Tribolium castaneum: one gene and its partner. The protein of the gene in region 2 purifies or fractionates together with the protein of the main gene of each other region. This does not show direct contact. Links are inferred from orthologs where the notes say so. Each region holds a gene or a part of one and is shown on either strand. Other genes may lie near its edges.

Region 1 (6,527 bases), on a different chromosome or scaffold from region 2:
CCACCGGTTCCGAGCTTGCAGCGACCGCCGTACTTCCAGTCGTAGATCGTCTTAACGTACTGGGATCAATAAAAACTAAATTAGAACCGTTGGCCAATCGAACACCAGCCGATCTGCTTGCTTCACGTGACCGTATTGCCCATTGCATATTCTGCGGGGCCAAATTGCTCCTCTGTCCATGACCGGTCGTATTGCTGTAACGGCTTCTTTCATAGACAATAATCAGAGTAATGAGAAACACAAAAAACATCACTAAATCAAGAGCCAATAATCATAATAAAATAAATTACTTGAAGAAAAATGCTAAGAAAAATTGTCAAATTTACCTTCTTCGCTCCAACTGTTCATCCGTCAACGTATAATCTTCAGTGTCCTGTTCGTCAGTTTCGCCCGCTTCGCTCTCTTCCTCTTCCTGTTGGCTTGACTCGCCGCTTTCGTCTTCCGGGAACAGCAGCATACCTCCTGATAAGTTACACAGAATTGCATACACATGCAACCAACCACCCGCTCTCACACGCCTATATTAAAATATACTGCCTTAGACCCTGTGTGTATCGTCGGCACACAAGAAATAAATTGCTGAATGCAATACGTTATTAAGATAATGCGATGTTTGAAACATTGTTTTTTTAAATTATGTCTTTTTTTTGCAGTATAGATTAATATAGGTATGAGCTAGCTCCTCACTCTCTCCCTTTCTCTCCACCAATCAAATTGACTTACCGGTATCAGATCCGGCCGTTGCTCCCGTCTGTACCGACCTCTGTGCAGATGCAGCATCCTGATTACTATGATTATCATCACTATCCGACTCCGTCTCCGCCAACAGATCCAATTCGGGATCGCTTTCCTCGCCTTGGATTCGACTTTCCTGTTGGTACGGAGCAGCTTCGACCGTTTCATTTTCATTAGTCGACGACTGTCTAACAGTAATTGGCAATTCACGATCAGCGGGAACATCCTCATGTTCGGACGCATTATCATCGTCATTATCAATCGCCATACTTTCACCATCATTCAAATTCAATAAATCGCGAGCGTTTGCCAGATCGCGTGCATTAGCGGCCGCTCTTCGCACAGCTTCGGCCAAAAACGGAAACCGCGGCATTGTTGAAGACCCAGAAGGTCGTGAACTCGACGGTGCTAAAGGATCAACTAGGAATAATTCTTCCGATCCGTTTAGAACGTCATTTACGGATGTTGCAAGTGAAAAGGGGGCAGTTGGTCGTGCTACGCCCAATCGAACCGGTGCCATAATAGCGTCAGCGCTCTCACACAGCTCCTCAATCGATAGTTTGCTCAAAGCTTGGAATATTTTGCGACATTTAGTCAACGGTTGGTTTTGGTTGCTTAAACTGCGTCGTTTCGTCGAGTTCGGTGCCATTTCGATGGAAAAAACGACAAAAATACGCACAACTGAGCGGACGAATCGCCGCGAAACCATTGTGGCGTATTGGGCTTGTTTCGCATCTGGATTTTTCATTTCTCTGATCAAGGTTTCGAGAAGTACGTCGATTACCATTTGGCATTTGACAAGGAAACACAAGGAGAATTTATCCAAAAGTGCCGTTCCGGTCTGTTTGGAGACGTAAGGTTGTTCGGTGAATTGTGTTTCGGAAACGTCTCGAGTCCCCGACATTATCATACTTTGAACGGCTTTCCAGTCGCCTAAAAGGCACTCCAAAGCTCGACGACTGAATCTGGGAGGCTCTAAATCATGCTCGGGCATATCGGTCTCAACTGAAACAGAAGGAGAATACACAAACGGACAGTTAATACGAGTCAAATAAGAATAAAGAGTCTCACTATCTGAAGAAGGTGTTTTATTTCGGGAATTTGCCGATGCCGTCCTGGGCCTGGTGTGACGAAACTGTCGCTGTTCTTGATTTTGTCGACCAACAGTTTGGACCAAAAACAGCAAGATACTTTCGCCGCGTGAATTCGGCAAACAGACGAGATCGGTTTCTTTAACCAAACGTGTCAAAAGTTCGTAACGGACCGTTTGGTTCCCCATTATCAATGCTTTGCATTTACATTTCTCCCAGCAGTCGCAGTAAGCCGTAGGCGAAGTCCTTTTTAACTTGCAATCGTGGCCTTTGTGGCAAACACGCGCACACTCCGTACAGCAGCAAAGCGTTCCGGTGAGGCCACAAGTGCGACATTCAAAAATATCCTACAATTTTAATTACAAAAACTATTTTTTTTCGTACCATGTCTTACTTGATTGATGTGTTCGGCCCCAGTCCAGGTAAAACTACACGTGTCGTTGCAGCACAGAACATGCAGAGGTGAGTGATCCGGATTTGAACCTTTCGGAAAGATCATCTCTTCGCGTTCCTGAGGAGTCCCCAATTTAATGATTCTTTCGAAAATTTCCAACGCGGCTGGATAACTTCGCGACGATACGGCCAACATGAACGGAGTTTGACCTTGTGCATCCCTAAAACCAATCCCAATGGTTATTTAATCAAACTCGCAGAGAAAAAAATTACTTTGCACATAAAAGCTCGATGAGATGCGACTCCAAAGCCGAGGAATCATACAAAAGCGCGTGTAAGATTTGCATCGCGTTTGATCGTCTTTCAACTGGATCGACGACGAGATTCGTCGGTGCGTTACTGTTGTTTCCGCTCCCTTTATTATTGGCAGCACTGCTTCCCAAACCCATCAGACTATCCTCATCGCCTGACGTAACATCGAAGCTTTCCGGTGGCCAACTGTGTGTCGGTATCGGTTCTTCTTGGACGAAACTGTGCTGATCTGCAGAGTTAGAAGTATTGTTGAGTGCGCTTTCGCTACGTACAACGGCTCTACGCATCATATCGCGTAGCGTAACTGATCGAGGGCCTACGGCGTTCGTTATCACATTGATACATTCCAGGCCAGCTGACGGGTCTGGAAATGACGATCCCAACAAATCAAGCTACGCACGCGACTTGAGCCTAACGTAATCACCTAAAGCATAAATTTGGCCAACTCACCGCTTTCAGTTTCCTTGTTCGACGTCGGCGTACACATGTTCACAACAGCGTGGAAAATGTTACGATTGCCGTCGCAACGTTCGTTTAAGATATTCGAAATGTTGGCTTCTGAAAATTTTTCATCACAATATCACACGGGAAAATAGTAAAACTTACTCAAATCGCTGTCTAGTTGGGCCAAAACTTGCCGGACGCCATCAATATCACAACGTAGTATTTTCGGCATGAGTAGTTGTTGTTCAAGTGCAAAGACAACAATAGCCACTTGATTCTTCATGTTGAGGCCGGTTCCAGTCAAACCAAATGTACCAGCTGTCAGGCACTTGACTGGAGGCAAGTCTAGACATTGTGGGTCGCGAATCGCATCGGCGCAATCTTTACTGAGGGGGTAAATCGTGCTGTTACCGTCGCGCAAAACCAAAATTGTTTCAGAACTCTGAAATACAAACAATGTAACAATCAGGCAAACACTACAAACGACATACTTCTCCAGCACAAATCAAGTTGATCAAATGTGGATAGAGCCCCATGAACGAAGCAGTGTCGCTCGGAAATGGATTATCTTGTTCAATTCTTCCGCTACTGACGTTGTAAACGACATAACTCAATTTACTCCCGTTCCGAACTATGGCATGTATGCCTTGTCCATCAACGGCAATCGTGAGAATTTGATTGCTATTGTCGGAAATTTGGATACGTCGAGGTGTTTTTTGAAAACAGTCAGGAACGCGTGAATTAGACGACGATTTGATCACCTACAAAACACAAATAATTTTGACCGAAACCAAATTATTGTTCATACTTGGAGGTCGTCCTTGCGCATCAATCGACAATCTTGGAAAATATCGTCGGCATCTTTGGCGTCACGATCTCTGGAATGTCCACTTGGAAATCTGACGGCGGCGTAAGCACCGTCCACTTTCAAAACGCGACCTGCTGGAACACTTCGTACATCTTCCACGAAAATTACATTCCGTAGAAGCCACTCCTCTTCGTCTTTTCTTTGCTCCGAACCGGTGTCGCTCCCAGACACGGTCATGCGTTTTTGGCGCTCTTTAATTGTTTTATTAATTGGTTTTACAATAACTGTAGAAAACTTACTGTGACTGTTTGAAATACTTCCGGTATCGCTGCAAGTACTCGAAGCCGGCGATGGTGGCGGTGGCATATCAAGCCTATCGGCGTTTTCTTTATTCGACGAACTTTTATTTGTTAAATTCGCTGCAACGAACATTAACCCCGTAAACATTTAAGTCCAGTACAGATAAAATAGTTTATAAATATCAAAAAAGACTTACATAACCCGCTAGGGCCCGGCACGGCATCTCTCCCCTTATCGGCACTCGAAGCTCCACTCGTTTGCACGTTGATAATCTTAAAAGTGCAAGTATCGCTCAACGTCCAAGCCGCATTCTGTAATTGGCCCACTTTTGGTACTCCATTGGCGATGGTAAACCCTATCGCACCCGCTTGATACATGGGACTGTTCTTCATACAAACTTGCGACCCAGTAACGATCTCTGATTGATTGTTTGAAGGTCTTTGTTTCCGGCACTTTGTACGGTATTTCTCCCACAATCGTTTGCGTTGAGCAAACGGTTAAAACGCCCCTTTAATCAATTTTTTTAGCAAAATGGGTCAATAATATACGTGAATCAATACTCACCACCAGTACAAAGCACCACTTTCAAGCTTCGCAACCGTGTACAACGGACACGTGTACAAAGCTGCAACCTTGTCAGTTTGAAACTCGGAATAGGCCTGAGCTGAATGTTCCAATTTAGCTGCTGCTGGCGCCAAAAGCTCGTCTAACCAAGTGGCGACTTTGCCGCTTTCGGTTGAGACCGAGCAACGGGTGCAACAAGCCGAGAGATGGACGATTTTTTCGCCCATTAGACCCAAAGGAACTGTCTTGGGGTGATGTATGTTACAATTCTGGAACGAATAAATGCATTTCGGTTGGTTTCAAGTGTCTATGAACGTACCTCTGGATGTCTGTAAGGTTCGGGGTCGTTCCAACGCCATTGAAACAATTGTCCGTTACTCGACAATGCGATTAATTCCGAGTAGAGACTCGCAATTTGGACGAATTTCGGTGCAGAATCGGGCCAAAATTCCAAGTCGTCGGAAATCCAAAGTGGACACGCGCTGTCTTTCTTCTTGTGATCTAAATTTGGTATTTAATGTCGTATTCAATAAAAATCACTAGCACCAACCTGAATCTTTTTCGTACGGACTTTCCCTTAGTGCCGTTTCAAGCCACCTCCTAGGTCCGAAATACTGACGATCTCTCCACCTCGAAAAATTCTCTCTGTCTCGATCTGAATTCGAACTATTGCTCGGTGGTGCATCTCTGTCGGCCAATCGACTCCTTCCACTGCCGCGACTATTAAGGAAGCTTGTTTGAGCAAAGTCAAACATTCCCAACGAGTTAGTTAAAATGCAAAAAAAATAGAAAAAAATGCAAGCGATAGAGTTGTTAACCAACAAAAAAAGCGCAACTACACAAAAAGCGAGTCAAACAGATCAAACCAAAAATCCTTACTTCCTAATGCCCGAATATCCAAACATATCTTCGGAAAACATCGCATCAGCATCGATTATCACCGAATGATCGGTATGAAACCCTCCGTCAAGCAGCGAAATTAGATCCTCTGGAACGTAAGAATCAGCTGCATCGTCTCCTTCCTCTCCTTCTTCATCATCGCGCGACAATAAATTATTAACGGCTAAATTAACATCAAGATTTGTGCGTTGCAACTCCCGTATTATCAAATTCCGGCTCTTCCCCTGAAGCACCACCTGAGCTTGCGAAACCAGCTCTTCTGGGACGTAGGGCGCTGGCACCGTCACCATCGGCCTTCCACTGCTCGAACTGCTCGTTCCTATGATAACCGGAGCACCACGACCGCCTGAAAGTAAAGGACTCTGTACATTTAAGGACGACAGAGTTAAACCAAGTATATTGCCCTGAAAAGGGTCTGGACAAACACTAAATCTTCATATGAACGAAATACAGAGGAAGAAACTCACCGCTATTGCTTCCACCTCTGATGGCCGTATTCGAGCGCATAATCCTGGCCCTGGTCCTGGGCATCTGTCTTCCGCTTCCGGTGGGTTTGCTGCTGCCGCTGCCACCGCCAGCACCACCGCTTGAGCCGCCAGTAGCACCGCCACCGGAACTACGCAACAACCAAGGTCTTTGGTTGGTGGAAACGAACAGATTTAATAAGGCACAGTGTTAAAAATGGACACAACGACGACACTGTGCGTCAAATACTCACTTTTTAGTCGAGTCATTTTTGCTGAGGTCTAAACGGTCGGAGAGGACGTTGTAGGAAACACGACATACACGGCCATCGTCGAGAAGAAGGGCGATAAACGAAGGGCCGAGACAGATTTTTTTTATACCGGAACGGAGGCTGGACAGACCTGGGTGCGAGGTGTGGCCGAGGCGGTTGATTCTATCAGCTACTTCTTTCAGTCTAAAAGAACAGAAAGAAGGTACAGACTATATTCTTGATCATTACTAGAGAGAAGTACTAT
Region 2 (6,760 bases):
TATTTTAGATCTACGATATTTGTGACTTTTGAGGTTCAGGCAGGAATATTGCGAAAAAGTTAGGCGTAAAGTATTTAATTTTCTACTTTTATTAGAGATAATTTTTTCATGTATTTGAAGAATTTAAGCATTTAAAATGGCCTTCTTGGGAAATTTTGCAAAAATATTAGCGTGTTACTTAACAATACGAGTGTTTACCGAAACAGATCAAATTAAGATCGTTTTCGAATATCAAATGGAAATTTTTGCCGTATTAGGACATTTAATAAAATAGGTGAGTTTTTGTTACAGAATAATTATGTAATTAATGGTATTATGTTATTTCCGGGGCAGTTTTAGCGAAATCTTGCAAAATTACTGAAATTTTATGTCAAAAAATATCAAAAAAGACTCCGAAAAGGCGAAAGTTTTCTGTCTGATTTTGTAATTTTTTGGTATGCTTTTGATGAAATTTTGTGAAAGAATTGCTTTTATGGCTGAAAAACGAGTAAAAACGCTAAAATAAAATAAAAACAGTGCAATTATCTGCTTAATTTGGTGATTTTTTTGACATATTTTAGAGAAATCTTGCAAAATTACTAAGATATTAAGCTTGAATAGGCTAAAATAACTCAATTTCTTATCAAACTTTATCTTCTTTTGGGTTAATTTCCAAATTTCCTGATATTTTAGTTGAAAATGACACCATTTTTTGACTAATTTTGTGTTTTTTTCGGTTTGTTTTTTAAATTTTGTAAAATAATTGCGTTTCTACTTGAAAAAAAAAAAAAAATCGAACATACATGCTAGACAAAGTAAAAACAGTGGAATATCTACTTAATTTTGGATTTTTCGGCTTATTTTAGAGAAATTTAGTAAAATTACTAAGATATTAGGCTTAAAAATGTAAAAATAGTTAAATTTTTTATCAAATGTTGCCTTCTTCTGGGGTAATTTTAACAAAATTTTTAAATAAAATTGGCATATACATAATGTTATTTTCGATCTATATTTGTTGTTTTTTTTTTAACCTATTGTAGGCAAACGTAATCATATTCAAGTACATAATTTTCAACAATTTTTCGATATACCTATCATGGAATTATTCGAATTTATAATTAGAGTTAGCTTTTGTTTTTTTTTTTGTGAATGATAAACTAGTGCAATCTGAGGGAAAACTGTATTCTAATTAAATATTACCGTTCGAAATTTTATCATTCGACTTCCCAACTTGATTAATAAATTATGATAATCACCGTTTTGAATCAAGTTAAAAAAGTATGAAAACTTATTGTAATTATTAATTCAAATGATTACATGATATTGTCACATATTCAGAAATGGGATTAATTTAATTTAATTTAATATTAGGTAACAAATGAGAATATTTTGAATCAATTGTCTTCGTGGTGTTTCATCTTATTTACTCAAATTTTGTATAAAATACTAGCTTTATTTCACTCATAAAGTTATAAAATTAGCTTTTGCGAAGTGGAGTAAAATAATACAATTTCCGACTTAAATTTTTCGCCGTATTAGAAGGAAATTTCACAAAACAAGTGAGTTTTTGGCTCACAATTTGATAATTTTTGGACGTAGTTAGGCCTCGGTGGTTAGTTTCTTGTTTTATTTTAGGCGGCATTTTGACGTGACGTCGCCTTCGATGGGGGGCACCACCAGCGAGATATACTCGTGTCCCTTATGCGTGAAGTCGTTCAATTCGGCCCCCGACTTGGAGCTCCATGTCAACATCGAGCACCGTGACGTGCTGTCGCCTGCCAGTCCCCCAACACATTCGTGTCCCGTCTGCGGTATGAATCTAGACAACGCAAGCAATGTAAATTTTTTGCCTTGTCATTCCATTCCATGGTAATTTTTTTTTCTATATTTTTCTGTAGAGTGAGAGCGCTGCTCGTCACGTGGAGAGTCATTTTCCGGCCACTTCGCCTCAGCCCGCCGACAGAGCAGCGTTGCGTGAAAGGGAGCAGCGGGAATTCGAAATGTTGAGGGCGCAGTACGGCATGGACAACCAGGGAAACTTCAGGGAACAGTCCGTTACGAACATGCAAAGAGCTGTGTACGCGGGCGAGATGAGTGTTGCCGATTATTATGAACGTACGTTGGATTTGAGAGCGGCTGAAAGTTGTGGGATTGACGATGGGAGCTCCATAACCAGGAGTATTGTGCCTAGAGTTCGAGCCATTAGCACTACTGCACCTAATGTGGTCCGAACTTTACTCTGTACCTGCGTTGATCACTACGCTTCATCGTATGGTGATAGAGGCTGGGGCTGCGGATACAGGAATATGCAGATGTTGATATCAAGTCTGCTTACACACACTGGGTAATATTTAATTTTTCTTGAAAATATTTTTTTATGTAGTATTTTTGACTAATAGTTCAATAACATCAAAGAACTATTCCTTATACCGAACATTTTTTTTAATTCGCCCGTAAAACTACGGTTTTTGGGCTTATATTTTTATGTAGTCAAGTTATTTATAGTTTGATGACGTTATTTTACACAAACTGATGGACTAGAATCCTAAAACTTGCGTAAAAATGTAAAATAATTTATACTAAATCAATTTTGTGATTTTTGGTTTAGGAAAAACTAGCTTGGAGAGCTTGAAAACGTACTTAAAGGCTTTAAAAACGCAAATATAACACCGTTTTCTGCATAATATTGTGATTTTATAGCTTGTCTTTGACGAAATGTTACGAAATAATTACGTTTCTGGCTGTAAAGCGGGCAGAGATACTCGAAAAAATTTAATCTTTACGTAATTATCTTCTTAATTTAGTGATTTTTCGGCCTGCTTTAGTGAGACTTTGCATTATTTTTGAGATTTTAGACTTGAAAAGGTACGAAAAATACAAGTTATAATGAAATTTAGAGTATTTTTGGTTTAGTTTTGACGATATTTTGCTTAAAACGTGGCAAATTAAGTAAAATTTGGTGATTGTTAGGCTTGTTTTTAGGAAAATTTGCCAAGTATTTAGTTTGTGGCTGAAGCACGATCATAAAGAAAATGCAAGTCTTCCTATTTTTTGATCTATTTTAACAAACTCTAGCAAATTTACTGATTTTAGTTCAAAAATGTCTTTCTTTTTCGTTATTTCTGGCGAAATTTTGCTCAAAAGTTTGTCAATTTAATTGTGTTTTTTTGCTTTGTTTTAGTGAAAACTTGCAAAATTACTGTATTTAAGTGCTAAAACGTTATAAATTAAGTGAAAGTTTAGTAGGTTTAAGAAATTTTGCGAAATTTTACTGTTTTCGGATGAAAAACTATCATAAACGCTCGACAAAGGAAAAACTTGGGCTTATTTTAGCGAACCCTCGTAGTATTACAAAGATTTTAGTGAAATAATGTGCTTAAAGACTTGTAAAGAGTAAATATTTTATTCTTAATTTTGTGTTTTTACCGCTTTTTTGACGATTTTTTGCGACATGTCTGCGTTTTTGACTAAAAACGAGTGAAGATTCTCGATTTCCAACCTGCTTTAATGAAATCTTAATAAAATTACTGAGATTTTAGACTTGAAAAGATAAGTAGGTAGTACATTTATGAAGTTTTGTGTTTTTTTAGCTTATTTTTGACGAAACTTTACTTAAAAACGATTTTTAGGCTTGTTTTTAATGAAAAATTTGCCAAAGTATTACAGTTTTGAATGAAAAATCATTTGCAATGCTCGAAAAAATCAAAAATTATGGACTTTATTCAGTTTTCTGCCGGTTTTGTTTGCGAAATATCTGTAAAATTACTCAGATTTTTGTTCAATAATCAGCTGAAAGATTGGTAAAAGGTAAAAATTAGACCGTTTTTTTTAATATTTTTGTAAATTTTTGTTTTTTTTTATAAGAATATATTTCTGAAATAACTATCAAGAAAAAACGTTCGAAAAAAGTAAAAATAATGTAAATATCGACTTCATGTGGTGATTTTTTCAAACAGTTTTAGTATAATCTTGAAACATTCCTGGCATTTTAAGCTTGAAAACGTAACAATAAAACAATTTTTTATCAAATTTTTTGTTTTTTTTTTTCGCTCATTTTTAAACAAATTTCGTTTAAAAACTTGCTAAATAAAATAAATTGAATGATTTTTCGGTTTATTTTAGAGAAATTGGCTGAAATTATTAAGATTTTACTTCAAACATGTGCTTAAAGATTTGTTGAAGGAAAAAATAACATCATAATCTTCCTAATTTTGCGATTTTTTGGATTGTTTTTGACTAAATTTTTCGATATATTTTTCATTTCTGCAGTAGGAACGCTATAAAAAAGCGAAAATAGTGGAATTACGGTAGTTAATTTATTTGGCGTTATTTTGTTTCTCTTTTTTTTTTTTTTAATTTTTTGAAGGCAATTTGTAAAAATTTCAGATACAACGAACGCTTATACAAGCTATGGCAGGGCCAGAAGCCGCCCCGCAGTTCCGTTCCGAGCATATCCCGCCTCCAAAGCCTCATCGAGCAGGCCTGGTCCCAAGGTTTCGACATTCAGGGTTCGGAGCAATTAGGTTGCCGTCTTGTTAATACTCGCAAATGGATTGGAGCCACCGAAGTCGTCACACTCTTATCATTTCTCCGAATCAAATGCCAGCTGGTAGACTTTCATCGGCCGACAGGCCCCGGCGGCACCCATCCAGAACTCTTCACCTGGGTGTTGAAATATTTCGAAAACAGCGTTGGTGGTGAGTTCGTTCCACCACTGTATTTACAACATCAAGGTCACAGCCGGACCATCATGGGCATCGAGGTGCACCGAGACGGCAGCTTGATCCTTCTAGTGCTAGATCCGAGCCATTCCCCCCAACAGATGGCGCAGTTTGGCGACACGAACAGCTCAGCTGTGGCTTTGCGCCTTTTGAGGAAAAGCGAGGCGGCCATGAAAGCGCGCCAGTACCAGATTGTGGCAGTGGTTGGAACTATCGACTCGGAGCAGCAATATCAGGTAAGTGGCTAGAGTACGGAGAGCTAAAGGTTAGGATACGAAACGGACAAATAAAACGTCCCGTCAATGTCGACAGAGGGCGCAGAGCAATGAATTAAAACGTTTCGTCTCTTAAGTTATAACACACAATATAGGAAGCAATCTCTTTGCAGCAAAGTAAAATTCTGAGGGGTACGAGAATACCGCAGGACCGGTGAGGTTACCCCGTCTCGTGACCTAAAATTATGAATATCTACTTTTCACCACCTCTGCTGTTCATATATTACTAAAGGGAATTTTGGAGTGTGCCCTGGCCACGCTGCTATTTATTTTTCAATCATCATGGCCTCGAAACGTCAATAAAGTAGATAGAATGAGCTTAGATTTGATTTTTAGTTGGGGAATTTCGTTCCCTTAGATCGAGTGATTCTTGAACAATATTAAAAAATTACGACAAAAGTGTTAATACTGTTACAAAATAACTATTTTTGACCAAAAGATGAAGTATCATTTTAGTCAATTTATTCAAGTACACTGTTGTAGGATTTTTGTCCTTAAAACGCTTGTTACTATTATTTGTGATACGATATTTAAGTTTTTTATTTATTACTAGTCGTAGGTCCATTTTGTCACTATTGAATTTTACCTCTATTACACGAATGTACAAATCGATTTAAAAAATCATGGTTTATTAAAGATTCACTGCTGTGTTACTCCCCCAACCGTCCCGATCCAGTGCACTTTGAATCCGAAAATGCGTGTTTTCATTGGCCGATAAGCGAAGGCTTGCTTCTGACGTCACAATGATTGATCACCCATGATATGCACTATTCAAAGATTGAGACGGTAAACAAACTACGCATTGATATCAGTGGGTGCAGGACTGGTATTGAAATGATGAAACACGTGACCGACTTGCGTTTGACAAAACAGGGGAAATTTTGTTTTTTTGCGACACAAGGCTGTAAAACCGGGTACATTATTATGCAAATTCGCGTGTGTAACAATTTGTTTTTCTTAAATCATGTTTTTTGAATATCAAAACTGCTTTGTAATGTATTGTGTTTTTTAATTAATGTCAAAAGGTCGGGAGCGATTCTATTATAAATATTTTATTTTTCGTATGCAAATCGTTCAGATTACGCTGCACAATTTCAAAGCGGAATCGAAAACTTTACAAGTGTTACATTTGTGTCATTGTCATTCCTCCGTATAAATAGACAGATGATGGGTAATTAGGAAGGATGAAAAAATACGAATTTAAATTAACGGCCCTAGTTATTTAAAGTCAAGGCCGAGCTCATTTGGCAACTAATGAATGTTTCTCTAATTTACGAAAAACTGTTACAACAGTACAATCTTTTTTACAGTATAATAAAAATATTTTTTAGTGCTCTAAAGTAAATTCAAACCTACTGACTGCGCCAATTATTTGTTTGAAAAATACTGCAACCAAGATGAATTAGGACTAATTTATTTTTCGGTTTAAAAAAATCTAGTCACATCAAATTCACACTGTATATCTGCTTATTTTGAGTGAAATAAAGCAAAACTACGTCGAGATGAGGAACTTCGGTCGCGTTCCCTTGGTCCAAAGTGCCCAAAAGTTGAAATTCATCCATAAACAAAATAAAATCGCGATAAAGCCACCGCTTGATAAACATTAAAGTATTAATAGAGATGAAAATAAACAAGTAAAGGGTGTTGGTTTTTGCGTCAATCCACGACCGCATTTTATCACTCCGACTTGATTGAGCTGTGATCGATTGCAGCGACCCCTGAAAAGTCACGAAGACATTACCACACCGTTATCACCACGAGGAAACTTTCCAGGTCACAGTTGCG

What was found. Proteins that work in one complex are often made in the same cells at the same time.
Region 1: the proteins of zinc finger-containing ubiquitin peptidase 1 (region 2) and hyd purify together in Homo sapiens (affinity purification with mass spectrometry, with the first as the bait; 3 studies listed by BioGRID). This does not show direct contact. The link is inferred for Tribolium castaneum from reciprocal best matches to the Homo sapiens genes ZUP1 and UBR5.

Annotation. Positions count from the first base shown.
Region 1 is NC_087398.1:9,886,991-9,893,517, forward strand, and holds the start of hyd (E3 ubiquitin-protein ligase hyd), read right to left. Parts: upstream 4,476-6,527; coding exon 4,280-4,475; intron 4,203-4,279; coding exon 4,083-4,202; intron 4,035-4,082; coding exon 3,784-4,034; intron 3,737-3,783; coding exon 3,467-3,736; intron 3,418-3,466; coding exon 3,138-3,417; intron 3,090-3,137; coding exon 2,982-3,089; intron 2,761-2,981; coding exon 2,493-2,760; intron 2,441-2,492; coding exon 2,221-2,440; intron 2,174-2,220; coding exon 1,807-2,173; intron 1,741-1,806; coding exon 724-1,740; intron 463-723; coding exon 327-462; intron 207-326; coding exon 1-206. Other genes in the region: E3 ubiquitin-protein ligase hyd-like, read right to left, coding at 4,644-4,916, 4,967-5,148, 5,198-5,379, 5,527-5,893, 6,015-6,181, 6,266-6,466. UniProt on the Homo sapiens protein: E3 ubiquitin-protein ligase involved in different protein quality control pathways in the cytoplasm and nucleus. Mainly acts as a ubiquitin chain elongator that extends pre-ubiquitinated substrates.
Region 2 is NC_087399.1:5,856,263-5,863,022, forward strand, and holds the end of zinc finger-containing ubiquitin peptidase 1, read left to right. Parts: intron 1-1,614; coding exon 1,615-1,816; intron 1,817-1,877; coding exon 1,878-2,323; intron 2,324-4,365; coding exon 4,366-4,936; intron 4,937-5,088; coding exon 5,089-5,133; 3' UTR 5,134-5,617; downstream 5,618-6,760. UniProt on the Homo sapiens protein: Deubiquitinase with endodeubiquitinase activity that specifically interacts with and cleaves 'Lys-63'-linked long polyubiquitin chains. Shows only weak activity against 'Lys-11' and 'Lys-48'-linked chains.